Rattus norvegicus: one gene and its partner. The protein of the gene in region 1 interacts with the protein of each later gene in a biochemical or structural test. Links are inferred from orthologs where the notes say so. Each region holds a gene or a part of one and is shown in the gene's direction. Other genes may lie near its edges.

What was found. The genes of interacting proteins can lie anywhere in the genome.
Region 2: the proteins of Anapc2 (region 1) and Pttg1 form a complex in vitro, tested with the Homo sapiens proteins (2 studies listed by BioGRID, with this or other methods). The link is inferred for Rattus norvegicus from reciprocal best matches to the Homo sapiens genes ANAPC2 and PTTG1.

What each region holds. Positions count from the first base shown.
Region 1 is NC_086021.1:28,489,093-28,496,301, forward strand, and holds part of Anapc2 (anaphase-promoting complex subunit 2), read left to right. Parts: intron 1-27; coding exon 28-145; intron 146-571; coding exon 572-753; intron 754-1,440; coding exon 1,441-1,582; intron 1,583-2,327; coding exon 2,328-2,403; intron 2,404-2,483; coding exon 2,484-2,687; intron 2,688-6,183; coding exon 6,184-6,313; intron 6,314-6,468; coding exon of another isoform or gene 6,469-6,568; coding exon 6,569-6,804; intron 6,805-6,882; coding exon 6,883-7,095; 3' UTR 7,096-7,209. UniProt on the Homo sapiens protein: Together with the RING-H2 protein ANAPC11, constitutes the catalytic component of the anaphase promoting complex/cyclosome (APC/C), a cell cycle-regulated E3 ubiquitin ligase that controls progression through mitosis and the G1 phase of the cell cycle.
Region 2 is NC_086028.1:28,400,968-28,408,872, reverse strand, and holds the start of Pttg1 (securin), read left to right. Parts: upstream 1-2,546; 5' UTR 2,547-2,559; exon of another isoform or gene 2,560-2,944; intron 2,945-2,996; exon of another isoform or gene 2,997-3,063; 5' UTR 3,064-3,086; coding exon 3,087-3,174; intron 3,175-4,000; coding exon 4,001-4,179; intron 4,180-6,059; coding exon 6,060-6,153; intron 6,154-7,224; coding exon 7,225-7,383; intron 7,384-7,905. UniProt on the Homo sapiens protein: Regulatory protein, which plays a central role in chromosome stability, in the p53/TP53 pathway, and DNA repair. Probably acts by blocking the action of key proteins.

The sequences.
Region 1 (7,209 bases):
TGTGTGATCTCTTGCTCTTATCTCTAGGTGTCAACACGTGTGACATCATCACACTCTACATTTCTGCCATCAAGGCATTACGTGTGCTAGATCCCTCTATGGTCATCCTGGAGGTGGCCTGTGAGCCCATCCGTCGCTACCTGAGGTGAGTGCCACTGGCATTTGGCACTTTGTGCTGACTGCTGGTGTTTGCAGAACCAGAGCAACAGTCAGTCCTGAGTGTCAAACAGATGAGGCTCTGCCTGGGTAGGGCTGGATTGGCTCAGGGTAGGGCCCCCGCCCTTTTCCTTTTGCTAGTGTTAAGGTGGTTGTCCGCCCCACTATACAGAGTTGCGCTGTGTGTATATGTATGTATAAAGAGTGCTCTGGTGGGTTCCTTGGCAAAGCTGGTCCTTAAGCCCTTCTTGGTAGCTCAACCCCTGCTTTTTCGGAGTAGTACTTTTATTTTTATGACTCGGGATGGGCATGCTTTTAGCACTTGCTAGTTGGCACCGGCCACATTAGCATGGGCTGTAGCAGATGTCATGATGCCCATGCACATTGTTGGGACAGCAGCATTCAATCCTGGCAGGACACGGGAGGACACAGTACGGCAGATTGTGGCTGGGCTAACCGGGGACTCGGATGGGACTGGGGACTTGGCTGTTGAGCTGTCTAAGACTGACCCGGCCTGCCTGGAGACCGGCCAGGACAGTGAGGATGACTCTGGCGAGCCCGAGGACTGGGTCCCTGACCCTGTGGATGCTGATCCAGGTCAGTGCCTATTGGCCTCACCCGGCCTTTTCCTGGGTTTCTTCAGTGGTCTCTTGGGTTCTGGTTATGGATGTTGCTACCCAACCCTGATTATATCAGAGGCAGCCATTGCCTCAAACTTGGGGTGCGTGTGTGAGAGGTCAGGGCCATGCGTAACACTAGCTGGTTTGTTATATGTACCTCACTGGCTACCTTAGCTAGCTATAGAAGGTGCCTTTGTGGGTTATACCTGAGAGACCAGGTTCATAGGAAGTCTGCATACCCCACTCTGCTGTGATTTGATCCTGATTCTCATGTATTAAGGTGGGATTCTCTGCCCAGGTCCCATCTTTTGCTTGACCATACTCTGCTGGGTTATCATGGGCTGTGGATTCTTTGTCCTGCTGAGGTCTTAGCATGAACACAGCATCTTCAACCTTTTAGAGGAAAACCTTTGTTCTCTTCCTTATGGCTGACTGAGGATCCTTGTGAAACAGGAGGCACTGTTTATCAGAACAGTTGCCTTAGGAACCAACCCCAGCTCTGCTGGGAGACATTAACCCCAGCTGCCTGGGGCATTTAGAGCAAGCCCCCCCCCCCCCCCCGCCCCGGGCCGTGCAAGACTGCTGTATCCAGCAGGTGAACTCTGAGGTGTCACTTTCCTTGTCAAAGTGCAGTGGTACACATTAGCTCCTCTGTACTGTGCAGCAAAGTCAAGTTCCAAGCGACGCTCTTCAGACATCATCAGCCTGCTGGTCAGCATCTATGGCAGCAAAGACCTGTTTATCAATGAGTACCGCTCCCTCCTGGCCGATCGCCTCCTCCACCAGTTCAGCTTCAGTCCGGAGAGGTAAGGCAAGGAACTGGTTGACCTCCAGGGGGTGCTGAGGCCTAAGCCTTCACTTGGAGGAAAGCACATGACTAATATTGACTGCCCCTATTGGCCAAGAGTTGTAGGAATAATTAATCTCTATTGGGGCTTTCTACCCAGTCTTATATCATTCAGTTCTTCTGTTCCCAGATAAAAGAGATTTTATCTATCTAAAACACTAGAGCTGGGCAGATATCAACTCTGTAAGCTATTATGTCTACTTTCTTATTAATAATTCTGAGTTAAACTTGTTGTGTTTCATCTGGGACACTCAACTATTGGCCAGCTCTCACAGCCATGGTATCTTCTCTCCAACTGCTTTTCTCTTTCTTCCTCGCTGTCCTGCCTCATACCCCAAGCCAAGGAACCGCAACCTTGTCTACCTCTCTTCTGCCCAGCTATAGACTGTAGCATCTTTTAATAGTTTTAAATTAAGGAGCAAGGCTACACATATCATCACTTGGTGTACATGAGGATCTCCTCATCCCTGAGACAACCAGACTTTGGGTGGGTGGGTGGGGGCAGTAATTATCATTACAATACATAACAAAGACCAAACCTCAACAGCCAGAATGACCAAACTTTGGCCCTAGTCTTTTGCTTCCTGCTTTCCCTTCAGCCCAGTGTTTCCTGAGCAGGTGGGTTGTCTGGTCCAGCTGTCTGCTTAGGGTATCAGTTGAAATGGAGTCACATTGCAGCCCCTCACAGAAACTTGTCCTTGCAGGGAGATTCGTAATGTGGAGCTGTTGAAGCTGCGCTTTGGAGAAGCCCCCATGCACTTCTGTGAGGTCATGCTCAAGGTAAATACCCAGGACTGCCCCGAGAGTTGTGCCTACCATCACCATTAAGCCCAGGCCGTTGATGAGGTATCCTTTCTTAGGACATGGCAGATTCCCGCCGCATCAATGCCAATATCCGTGAGGAGGATGAGAAGCGGCCTGTGGAAGAACAGCCACCATTTGGGGTCTATGCCGTCATATTGTCCAGTGAATTTTGGCCTCCCTTCAAAGATGAGAAGCTGGAGGTCCCTGAGGACATCAGGGCAGCCCTGGATGTTTACTGCAAGAAGTATGAGAAACTGAAGGTACAGCCAGTAGGCCTCTGGGTAGTTTGTGTCTCTGATCAGACCATCAGACCCCACATAGAATTAGCCCATGTCCAGGTAGCACAGCTGAGCCCTAATGGTGTAGAGGTTAGAGTTCAGGGAGTGGTATGGCCAAATTCAAGGATCCTTCCTGAGCTGGTGTCAGTTATGACATGGGAGGCAAGAGTCTAACGCAGGTGGGGCAAGCGTCCTACTCTGGGTCATACATAAATGTGGGGCCAGCCTTGTCGGGTCAGGCTGGACACTGACGCCTCAGGCAGGCGTGCCATGGGGGCATCTGCAGCATCTTGTTCCTGATGAGCATAGTGCTGAGGCTCGTGCTTCTTCCTGGGATCAGAAGACCTTACGTGGCTTCATGCTAAGGATCTGTGCCCCTGGATGATCCCTTTGAGTACTTGAGGGGCAACAAAATCCAGTCAGAGGCCCTGACTGGAGAAATTAAAGAAGGGGAGTGTCTGTGTCAGTAGCCGTGAGAACCTTGCTACCTGGCTGAGTTTCTGAAAGAGTCTAAATATGGTCTTTGGCCTTTACTGACACCAGGTGAAAGTGTGGTTACTGGTCACCAGTATGTCCTGTTTTGGTTGAGTACCACAGCCCTACCACTTCCTGGCCAGTCCTGTGTACTCAGTGTCCTCTCCTACTGTTCCTCTGACCTATTTTGGTATGAGGTCCTCGTTGGCTTTGCTAAGTTTTTGCCCTGGGTCCTAGACATGACTTAGATGCGTCTTGTTGATCAGATCCAAAGAGTTAGGATGGCCATACACTAGTGTGACTCAATTTTTGGTGGTACTAGAATGGCTCTGGTAAACCCTAGGGCTGTGCTAAGAGGGCAAGCCTGTGGCCACAATAAAGTTATCTTTCACCAGCCAAGTTCCTAAAGGATCTGGCTGGGTTTGTGGGTGACTGACTATGCAGCCCATATATTGTGATGTATTGTGACCCTTTTTCAGGTCATGGCTTTAGAACCAGTGTTAGGATAGCTAAACTGGATGAAACCAGGGGAAGCCATTGATACTGCCTGTTTCTCTATCTGTAGAGTGAGTTTATTGGTATACTTCTCCGTTAAGAGCTACAGGGGTCCCAGAGGGTCTCAGGCCATCAGTTTTGCCACTAGGTCAGAGGTACCAGTGTCCTGGGTGTCCTTATGACATACTGCAGACACAGGTTTGCCAGATTAGAGCTGTATTGCTGAGTTGTGATGCCCCAGGATGCTCTAGGGAAACCATTTTTCCTGCCTCTCGCAGGAGCCCTAGCAGACCTAAGTAAATGGACTTTTTGTTTGTTTGTTTTGATTTTGTTTTTCGAGATAGGGTTTCTTTGTATAATCCTGGCTGTCCTGGAACTTACTCTGTAGACCAGGCTGGCCGCCAACTCAGAGATCCGCCTGCCTCTGCCTCCCGAGTGCTGGGATTAAAGGTGTGCACCACCCTTGCCCAGGTGGTAAATACATGTCTTTATGTCCAGGTTTTCTCTGTCTGTTCCTCTCTTCTTAGGATACCATTTATAATCAGATTAAGGACCAATTCTACTGCAGGACAACCTTATTTTAGCAGATTACTTATTTAATGACTCTGTTTCCAAATAAGGCCACATTTGGAGATAGGACTTACAGTGTCACTGGACAGTCAGTGTCCTGAGCTTTACTACTGTCTCTTTGAAGAGATACAGTTTGACCCATGGCAGTCTGTAGTTTCTAAAATTACTACTCTTCCCAGGAGCAAATTAGCCAATACCAGTATCTCCCAAGTAGCATCCCAACTGATGCTAACCACTTCAGCATCAGTTCTTAAAGTCTCTTCTAGTCCAGGGGGGCAGCACATGTCTATGATCCTAGCACTCAGGAGACTAAAGTAGTAGGACAGCAGGTTTCGTGTCCAGCTTGACGCTGTGACATTGTTTTGATCAGAGTCCATTGTTCAAACAAGCCTAGGTCAGAAATGGGCATTCCCAAAGGAACCTAGAAGGATCATGAGCCGAAAGCAAATCTGAAACCCAGCAGGCAGAGTTCACAGTCTGGCTCAGGCTTTGGCACCTGGCTTGCCTTGCAGCCCCGTGTGTACTCTCCCGTGCTGCTGTCACTTCATTCACGGTCAGCACTGCTGCTGGCATAACATTCAAAACCTTGGTGCTTTCCATGAAATGTGCAGTATCCAATTTATCAAGTAACGGCGTGGTCCTGAGCTGGTGACGCCTGTCCTCCCAGCCTTGGAAGGTGAGCACAGCAGCAGCATCCTAGTTTGAAGCTAGCTTGCTGTACATAGCAAGTTTCAAGGCAACTAGGGCTACAGAGTAAGGTCCTGTCTTTAAAAACAGGAAAAGAAAGGGAAGCGGTGGGTTGGGGATTTAGCTCAGTGGTAGAGCGCTTGCCTAGCAACCGCAAGGTCCTGGGTTCGGTCCCCCGCTCAAAAAAAAAAAAAAAAAAGAAAGGGAAGCGGTATCTTCCTGGCCATGCTGTGTGTTCTAGTGGATCTACAAGTCACAAGTCACACTCATCTCAGCGAACGTCTGGCCACAGCCTGGTGGTTTTCTGCCAGCTTCCCCCAGCGTCTAGTTTGTTCCTCACTTCGATCTGCGCTCTCACCAGAAGGTCCTCTTAATGTCCTCATCTCTACCAACATTATTCTCCACAGTCTGTGCAGTAACTCTCTCTTCTGAACCTTCACCAGCATCATCTCACCTGCCATATCGTTACAGCCCATTGGCTGTAACAGATCTAGGCTTTAACTTTCATGTGTTTCCCCAATGTACAAACAATTATAGCAGTTTCCCTCCCTCTCTAGAACATTTTTTTTTTTTTTTGAGACAGGGCTTCTCTGTATAGCCATGGCTGTCCTGGAACTAACTTTGTAGACCAGGCTGGCCTCAAACTTAACAGAGATCCTCCTACCTCTGCCTCACAAGTGCTGGGATTAAAGGCATGCATCATCCATACAGCAGAATCTTCATTTATTATGACTTCTTTAACAAAATGTCACAGGCCGAGTGGTATTAAACATGAGAAAAGTATTGTTTTAGTTGTGGGAAGTAGAAGTCCAGTGTCAGGGTGGGCAGGCCCGTGCTCCTCTTGATGCCTCTAGGAAACTTGCCCAGCTTTTGGTACATCAGCATGTGTATGCCTTTCATAACCGCTCTCTGCTGTGCTTTAAGACCTACCCTACTTCACTGTGACCTCTTTTTAATTACATCTACACTAACTCTCTTTGCAAATAAATAGCTCATGGTCCGAGGTACTGAGACATGAGAGGGACACAACTTATCATCAGTGTTCATTGTTATATCATGGTTGTTCCAGAACTGGAGACTGGAACCAGGTCTCCTGGTCTGGCTGCTGACTACATGCCTGCCAGGGATGGCCCTGGTACAGGTCATTGGTGCAAGAGCCATTCCTTGCTGGGTAGCCTGGTATAGAACCTATGCCTTGTTCATCTGGACCTGCCTGGAACCCACTGGACTGTTCTTGATGATTCCTGCCCAGGCTATGCGGACACTCAGTTGGAAGCATACCCTGGGCCTGGTGACGATGGACGTGGAGCTGGCTGACCGCACCCTGTCTGTTGCGGTCACCCCAGTGCAGGCAGTGGTTTTGCTGTATTTCCAGGACCAAGGTGAGTCCCTAGAACCCCATCTGGTCTGCCTTGAGCACACTACCTTGGGGCTAGTGCTAGACACTGCTGTCTGATAAGCTGTAAGGTGACATACTGACCCCCACCCCCTCCAGAATTTAGAGGTAGCAACCATTCTTTTTACCTGTGAGTAACAGTTACAGGACAATGCACATGCATCTGGGGGTCCAACTGGCTAACAGCTATTGGAGCAGGCATATCTCCAGGGTACCCTGCATTCTGTGACTCTGCACACAGCCAGCTGGACCTTGGAGGAGCTGAGCAAGGTGGTGAAGATGCCCGTGGCACTCCTACGAAGACGCATGTCAGTGTGGCTGCAGCAGGGTGTGCTGCGGGAGGAGCCTCCCGGCACTTTCTCTGTCATTGAGGAAGAGCGGCCTCAGGATAGGGACAACATGGTGCTGATTGACAGTGATGATGAAAGTGACTCGGGCATGGCCTCCCAGGCTGACCAGAAGGAAGAGGAGCTACTGGTATGTTGGCCATTTCCACATTGGGCTGGGGTGGGCCAGGTAAGTGGCCAACTAACCAGGTCTGGCTTCTGTTCCTAGCTCTTTTGGACATACATCCAGGCCATGTTGACCAACCTAGAGAGCCTCTCTCTGGAGCGCATCTACAGCATGCTCCGAATGTTTGTAATGACTGGCCCTGCACTGGCTGAGATTGACCTGCAGGAACTACAGGGCTACTTGCAGAAGAAGGTCCGAGACCAGCAGCTCATCTACTCTGCAGGTGTCTACCGCCTGCCTAAGAACTGCAACTGATGTTCCCCTTCCAGGCTCTGACCTGCAGCATTCATGCCTGTGCAACCCCTGGATGGACAGCTAGGGTACCTTCTGTCCCCATGTTCCTGTGCCCAGCCCCTACCTGTTCCCTGC
Region 2 (7,905 bases), on another chromosome or scaffold:
TGCTTTTTTGTAAAGCTAGATTAGGAGAGACTTGTATTAGCTGAGGACTCCATATTATACATGGGTTTACCAACCAGATACATTATTCCCCAGTAACAAGCGGGGAATCACAAAGTTGGCCTAGGGATACCATCACTAAGAAAACCATGGACTTTTAAAGACAGGGTGGTGATAGAATTTACACTTGCAGTGGACCTGGGGAAAAGCAATGTTTCCTGTTGGTGAGAGGGGAAGAAAACCTCTCAAGGAATTAGACAATGTTCATATGGAAGCTGTGGGAGTGTATACAGATTTATTTTTGAAAGCGAGACTTCTATGTGCTGGTGATTTAATATGAAGAAACTGCAATTCAGAAATAGATGCAGAGAGAAAATAACAGGTTGAAGGGATAAAAGGAACAGGAAATAGATGGGACAGTAAAGGTATAAGTGGTGTGTGTGTATGTGTGTGTGTGTGTGTGTGTCCACGTGTTCATACATCCATGCGTCCATCATGCCTGAATGTGTTGTTTCTATTCAACTCCTAGAGTTACATATTTATTAGGAACATCACTTTGCTCACAAACAGATTTGAGGAAGTAGAGTAAGACAGATCCCAGTCTGGTGTGCCGAGGGTAGCCCTGTGTAGGGAATAGCTCTCAACCACAATGGTAAAGGAATTACTCGCACACATCAAACTGTCCTCGCATTTACCCAGATTACTTTTTTTGGATCCTATTCTACTGCTAGTGACTGTTTTCCTATCTCACTTTATAAGTGTTCCCCTCAACCCCTTTTTCAGTTGAAATTTGATTAGACAATCACAAGCTTGCTTTCTCTTGGTTGTAGACTGACGGCTACAAAACCATTCCTCAGTTGTTTTTTCTCCTTTTAAATTTAGATTTGATTCCTTTATTCTCTGGGTGAACAGTATTTTAGTGGACGTTAGGAAAATAGTTTTGCCACTTTCTTGCTTTGAGTTTCTAAATATCTCTCCCCACTTCCCCGCACCCTGGTTAGGGCCTTTCTTATGTTAGGCAGACACGGCTACCCAGCTACATACTCAGCCCTCAAAAGACTACTTAAGAACATCATGCCCAAAAAGTATCTCTGGAAAAAAGTGTGTTTTGACATAAGTCAGATCATAATTCCTTTCTTAGAGTTAAAGATCATGTCCCCTCCCCTCTCCTATCTTTGCTCTCTCAGGCTGGCCTTGAAGTTGCTATGTGGCACAGAATGACCTGGTCCTCCTGTCTACCACATCACTGGATTTACACTCTTCTAGGTAAGCTATCTCTCTCTCTCTCTCTCTCTCTCTCTCTCTCTCTATATATATATATATATATATATATATATATATATATATATACACACACACATATATATATGAAACTTTTCAAAATAAGTGTAAGTTCCTTAAATTTTATCAGTACCAAAATGTTTGCCTTCATCACTTCACAAAACCAAGATTTATATCCACCACTTCTCTTTGAATATTTCCTTTCTTTTCTTTTGCAGATATTCCCTATGTGGTCTTGTATAGCTTCATGAACTCAATATGGAAACCGGGCTGACCTCAACAAACTCACAGACCTTCTTTTGCCTCAGTCTCCCAAGTGCTGAGATTAAAGGTGTGTGTCACCACGCCCAGCTTCTTCATTTTGAAGGACCTCTTTGGATAGGATTATGGGAAGATCCCGAAGCTAAACGGGATCTGTTGGTATTGAATAAACAACGGCGTCCGTTTGTGTCTAGACTGAGGAAGAGTCACAGAGAAGGAGATGCAGGATTTGACTAGGGCTGTGAAATTTTGCTATCTTATTCCTAATAGAAAGCTTTCTTGATCTACCGCTCACCACTTACACATCAGCATCTCTTGTGGCTCCATAGAGCTGAGGACTTCACAAACTGTCACGACCATTTTAGAAAGATTCTGCCCAGCAGGAGGGGGATGGGCGAAAATCCTAGCTCAAGTATCCCACTGTCAATCGTGGAACTTTAGAATGTTTTCAGGAGACTAAGGAACTTTTAAGCTAATTAAACGTAATCACACACATAGCAGAAAGGGTTATTAACAATGCCGATTTCAACGGGAAGGCCTGGCTTCTCAAATGTCCATTCTTTGTTTCCAAACCTGTCGAGTTTCCCAGTTTCTAAAAATAAGAAATTAACTACTACTTAAGAGGCAAAGGCAGGTAGATGTGTTAAGTTCTAGGTCAGTCTGGTCTGCATAGTGATTTCCAGGACAGTCAGGGTCCTCTTCGAGAGCAAGTGCTCTTTCCAGTCTCAGGTTTTGATGGGGGCCGACCCAAACCATCTCAGTAGATTGGTGCCTCTGACTTTGACTTGAAGATTTAAGGTCTGGATTAAGCCTCTGGGCTTCTTTAATTAAGTGTTTGTGTTTATGTTGGTCTCTACTACTACTCTTTTTTTTTTTTCCGGGAGGGGGCGGTGGTTGAAAACTTCCGTTGCTCTCATTGGTTCTCAGACACTAGGCCCCGCCTCCCATCGGATGGACCAATTGAAGCGCGAGTTGGAATTCAAACTGCGGTGCGCCGGGTCGTTGGTGGCGTAGTCTTGGGTGAGTTTTAGCTGCGAGTGTGTCGTTGCCAAAGATGTCTTGGGCGAACTCGGGGTGGCGGGGCAGGAAGACCCGGGACTGGAGGCTGGAGCAGGGTCGGGACTTGTGCTTCACTGGGCCCGGCGTCCCGGGGCGCTCTTGGCGTGCTTGACCCAAAGCGACGCTGTTTTCATTTTCTTTCTTCCCTTCCCACACACTTCAGGGTCTCAAGCAACCCAGACTGGTCTTGAATTGTTATGTAGCTGAGGCCAACCTTGAGCATCTGATCCTCTTGGCTTCTCCTTCCTATCGCTGAGCTGGTAGGCTGGAGACAGTTGTTTGGGTGCCAACATCAACAAACGATTTCTGTAGTTTAGCGTTTATGACCCTGGCGTGAAGATTTAAGGTCTGGATTAAGCCTGTTGACTTCTCCAGCTACTTCTAAATTTTTGTGCATAGGTGCTCTGGTCTCTGTTGCTGCTTAGTTCTTCCAGTCTTCCTCAATGCCAGTTTTATAATATGCAGGTCTCTCCCCTCAGTAATCCAGGATGGCTACTCTGATCTTTGTTGATAAGGATAACGAAGAGCCAGGCAGCCGTTTGGCATCTAAGGATGGATTGAAGCTGGGCTCTGGTGGTAAGTATCAGCTGCCTTGAGATACACAGGTGTCGTGAATGGATTATGGCCCCTAGTATTTAGTGTACTTTTGTGGTTGACCGGAGTCAGGTTTGATATATTTTCACGCTTATTATCTTTCTTTTTAGAATACAGTGTCATGTAGCTCAGACTTGGTCTCTAGTTCCCTATGTAACCCTAGGATGGTCTTGGACTTCTGATCCTTTTGACTCCCCCCCAGCCCAGGGCACTGATTAGAGGCAGGGGCCACTGTGCCCAGCTTATGCGCTGTAGGGGATGGAACTTGGAGCTTCTCAAATGTTAGGCAATCACTCTCCCTAATGGTCACATCCCCAGGCACTATGCTTAAATCATTTTTTGAGATGGGGCTCCCCTACATAGCTTTAATTGACCTGGAATTTGCTATACAGATCAGGCTGGCCTTGAACTCAGAGATCCACTTATCCCGGCCTCCAAAGTGATGGGATTAAATGTGTGTTGCTACGGTGCCTGGCTTCATGCTTATTGCCTTAATGAGTTTATTGAAGGGTTCTAAGTCACTGCCCAAAATGAAGCACAGGTTTGTGGGTGAGAATTAAGTTGATGAGGTGTTTACATGGCCTGACCTTGAAGAACAATGTATTTATTACCTTTATTTGTGTATGGGGGGGGGGGAGTGCACACATGCCATGGTGTGTCTGTGGAGATCAGAGGGCAACCTGTGGGAGTCCATTCTCCTTATGCTATGTGGGTTTTGGGGGTTGAATTCAGGTTGTCCGGTATGGCCGAAAGCCCTCTACCCACTGAGTATGTTATACTTTTATGATTGTCCTTTTTTTTTCAACAGTCAAAGCCTTAGATGGGAAATTGCAGGTTTCAACGCCACGAGTCGGCAAAGTGTTCGGTGCCCCAGGCTTGCCTAAAGCCAGCAGGAAGGCTCTGGGAACTGTCAACAGAGTTACTGAAAAGCCAGTGAAGAGTAGTAAACCCCTGCAATCGAAACAGCCGACTCTGAGTGTGAAAAAGGTGAGCGAGGGCTGCGAATACTTGCACATGTGTTGGCGCTTTATAAAAAAAAAAGTTTATTGTTTTTATTCATGTATATGTATCTGCGTACAAGCAGACTACATGTGTGCAAGGCACCCAAGGAGGCCGGAAGAGGGCGCTGGGTTCTTAGGAAAAGGAGTTGCAGCAGGTGTGAGCTGCCTTACGTGGGTGCTGGGAACTGAGTCTGGCTCCTTCGGAAGAGCAGAGTGGCAAGTGCTAACCACCGAGCCATCCCTAAGCCCCGCTGTAGCACTCGAGTGCTTAAAAGCGGACTTCCCCCTGCCTTTCTTCCTCTGAGTCCGAGGTAAATAGAGGTCCAGAAATGCAGAAGCGTCAGGCTGTGCTACTTCTCAGCACCCTGAGATTGCAGCTCTCGGGGACAGTAGCTAATGCTGATTCTTCTGCTTCAGCTGTTCTTAGCTAGTGCCAGGAAGCAGTTGGCTGGGAGGCCTGAAGCAAACGTGTGAAGTATTTAACTGGGTGTGATAGGCACCTGCAATCCCAGCACTTGGGAGGCTGAAGCTGGAGGAGAGGCTGGTTGGAGGCTAGCCTGAACTACACACCCTCCTCCCTACTTTGGTATACACATAGAGTGGATAAGATCGGATGTTTCTGCTGCTTCTTAATTCCATCTGCTTAAGGAACACGAACTTGTTGATATTAACAAAGTAATTAAGGTAACAGTGGCAGAAAAATCACACTTTTATAAGGTAAAAGTGACTTCCAGGATTAGCGACTATTCTGGGGGTGCCTCAAGCCTGTTTTGCTCACTGTTAGGTTTGAACAGTTGAGTTGATTAACTTTGAATTAACCCTGCTCATTATTCTTAGTGATATCTGTTGACAGGTGCTAAGATGTCGTGACTTTAATAGGAGTACTTTTTTTTTTTTTTTTTTTTTTTTTTTTTTTGGTTCTTTTTTTTCCGGAGCTGGGGACCGAACCCAGGGCCTTGCGCTTCCTAGGTAAGCGCTCTACCACTGAGCTAAATCCCCAGCCCCAATAGGAGTACTTTTAATTTATGCGTTTGGATATTTGTCTGTATGCTATTGTATTGGTTAGGGTTTTACTGCTGTGAACAGTAAATGTAACAACATTTAATTGGGGCTGGCTTACAGGTTCAGAGCTTCAGTTCATTATCAATGCAGGAAGCATGGTAGTAAGTGTACAGATAGGTATGGTGCAGGAGGAGCTGAGAGTTCTACATCTTTGTCGAAGGTGGCTAGGAGAAGACTGGCTTCCAGGCAGCTAGGACAAGGGTATTAAAAGCCCACGTCCATTGTAACACACGTATTCCAATGATGAGGCCACACCTCCTAATAGCATCCTTCCCTGAGCCAAGCATATACAAAGCATCACAGTATGTACGTGTACCATCCCTGAGGAGGACATGAGACATTGTTTCCTTTAGACTGGAGTTAAAGATAGTTGTGAGCCACCCTGTGGGTGCTGGGAATTGAACCTTGGTCTTCTGTAAGAACAGCAAGTGCTTTGAACCACAGAGCCATCTTTCCAGTGTGTGTGTGTGTGTGTGTGTGTGTGTGTGTGTGTGTGTGTGCGCGTGTGTGTGCGCGTGCGTGTGCGCGTGCGTGTGCGTGTGCGCGCGCGTGCGCGTAGGGCAGGGCTGGCACATGTGATGGCATGTGTGTCAGAGTCTGAGGACAACTTCCAGGAGTCAGTTCTCTCCTTACATTTACACTGAATCCTGAAAACTAAGTACTGTGACTTCTTAGAAGACAGCACTGAATTGACAAATTCTAAATAGTGACGTCAGCATTTGAAGAGGCTGCCCAATCTCATGCTACCATGCAGGTGGGCAAGACTTCCGTTCTCACAGTGCTTATTCTCTTTGGTTTTTCTAGATCACCGAGAAGTCTACTAAGACACAAGGCTCTGCTCCTGCTCCTGATGATGCCTACCCAGAAATAGAAAAGTTCTTCCCCTTCGATCCTCTAGGTAACAATGCCTTTGGTATGATGGGCAGGCCCTCTGCTGGAGATTTCTCTCAGACTGATTTCTCCATGCGACTATAATGTGCAGCTCTAGAATCCCAGACTGTCTGAACCTGGGTTACTTTGAAAACATAGACTGTTCAGGTGGACTCACTTGTATCACCTTCAGAATGGGAGCAAAGATACCAAGGAAACATCAAGTTCAAGGTGATCATTGTGTGAGTTCAAGGCCAATCTGATCTACAGAGCAAGTTCCAGGACAGCCAGGGCTATGTAGAAGGGACCCTGTGGGGGGAAAAAGTGTAGTGGGCTTGGGGGTGCACACCTTTAGTCCCAGGCAGAGGCAGGCAGAGCTCTCGAGTTCAAGGCTAACCAGGGCTATGTAGAGAGACCCTGTCTTAAACAAACAAACCAAAAAAGAAAAGGCCAAGTATAAATAATGTAAGATAAAAATTCAAATTAATGTCATGCTAACTATTACAGGTGAGTGTTCCACGATTCTAAACTTTTTCCCGTTTCTGAATTCCTCATTGGTGACAACATTTTCCTTGAAGTGCGGTAGACTTCCCTCATTCCTTGAGGAGAGAGTATGGAAGGAATACATTCTCTTGACTGTAGTTTGCCTTTCAGATGAAAACTGTCTCCCAGGAGAACAACCCTGGCTTGGCTTGCAGCTCAGAGCACTGTAAATCCCTTTTTCTGTGGCATCAGCATGCTCACCGTAGTTTTGTAACAGAATCTTTGACAGGGAATGGGGACCTGCTCTGCAGTTCAGCATGGTTTTGAACTCACGGCGATCTGCCTACAGTCACTCTCCCACACCACCATAATACTTGCATCCCAGAACCTATTAAAGAATGTTCAAGAGCTGGGCCGTTAAAATTATACTTTTTCCTGAGTCTGGCAAAAGTAATAGTTAAATTAGGGTGGTAACTTTATTATCTAACTGGCTATTGTTAAGTTGGATCTTAACAATATTCTAAATGACGAATAGTGGCGAAGAATAGTTTGACTTGGTGGACCTCACTGGGGCCAAGGGAGCACTCCCCTGATGCTTGCCTCCCCTCTGTGACAGATTTTGAGAGTTTTGACCTGCCTGAAGAGCACCAGATCTCACTTCTCCCCTTGAATGGAGTGCCTCTCATGATCCTGAATGAAGAGAGGGGGCTTGAGAAGCTGCTGCACCTGGACCCCCCTTCCCCTCTGCAGAAGCCCTTCCTACCGTGGGAATCTGGTGAGTGAGGCCATGCCCTCTCGATGGGCTGTAAGCAACTTGTTAAATGGCATGTGTTGTTGTAGGGACAGTTGTATGGGTGAGCCAGTGTGCAGCTTTGGGGATACAGGGACAACATCTAGAACAGTAACTTTCCTTGGTCGTTGTGGTTGGGTCCAAAAAGGTGTTCTGGAATCTTGGTAAGCCTTTGGTGATAGCAGAGGGTGGAGTTTACCACACAGCTTCTTAGGCTATGAGTTGAAGCCTATAGTAAAGTAACTGAGACTGGACGAACACTCCAGTTTCTGTCCTCGGCTGTCAGAGGACCAGTGTAGACCGACAGTTAGCTTGTAACCTCTGAAAGCTTAAGGCTTTAGTGGGAACCGGTGGTCAGAAGTGCCTCCCTCCTGTTCTGATGAGGTGGGTTGCCAGTCTGATTTTATGATTTGGTGAGACTTTATGCTCAGGAGAGCAAGAAGCTTCGAGTACTTCAAAGACCTGCCTCTTGAGGAGGGTCAGTTCCCAGGCCACATACCCACCCCC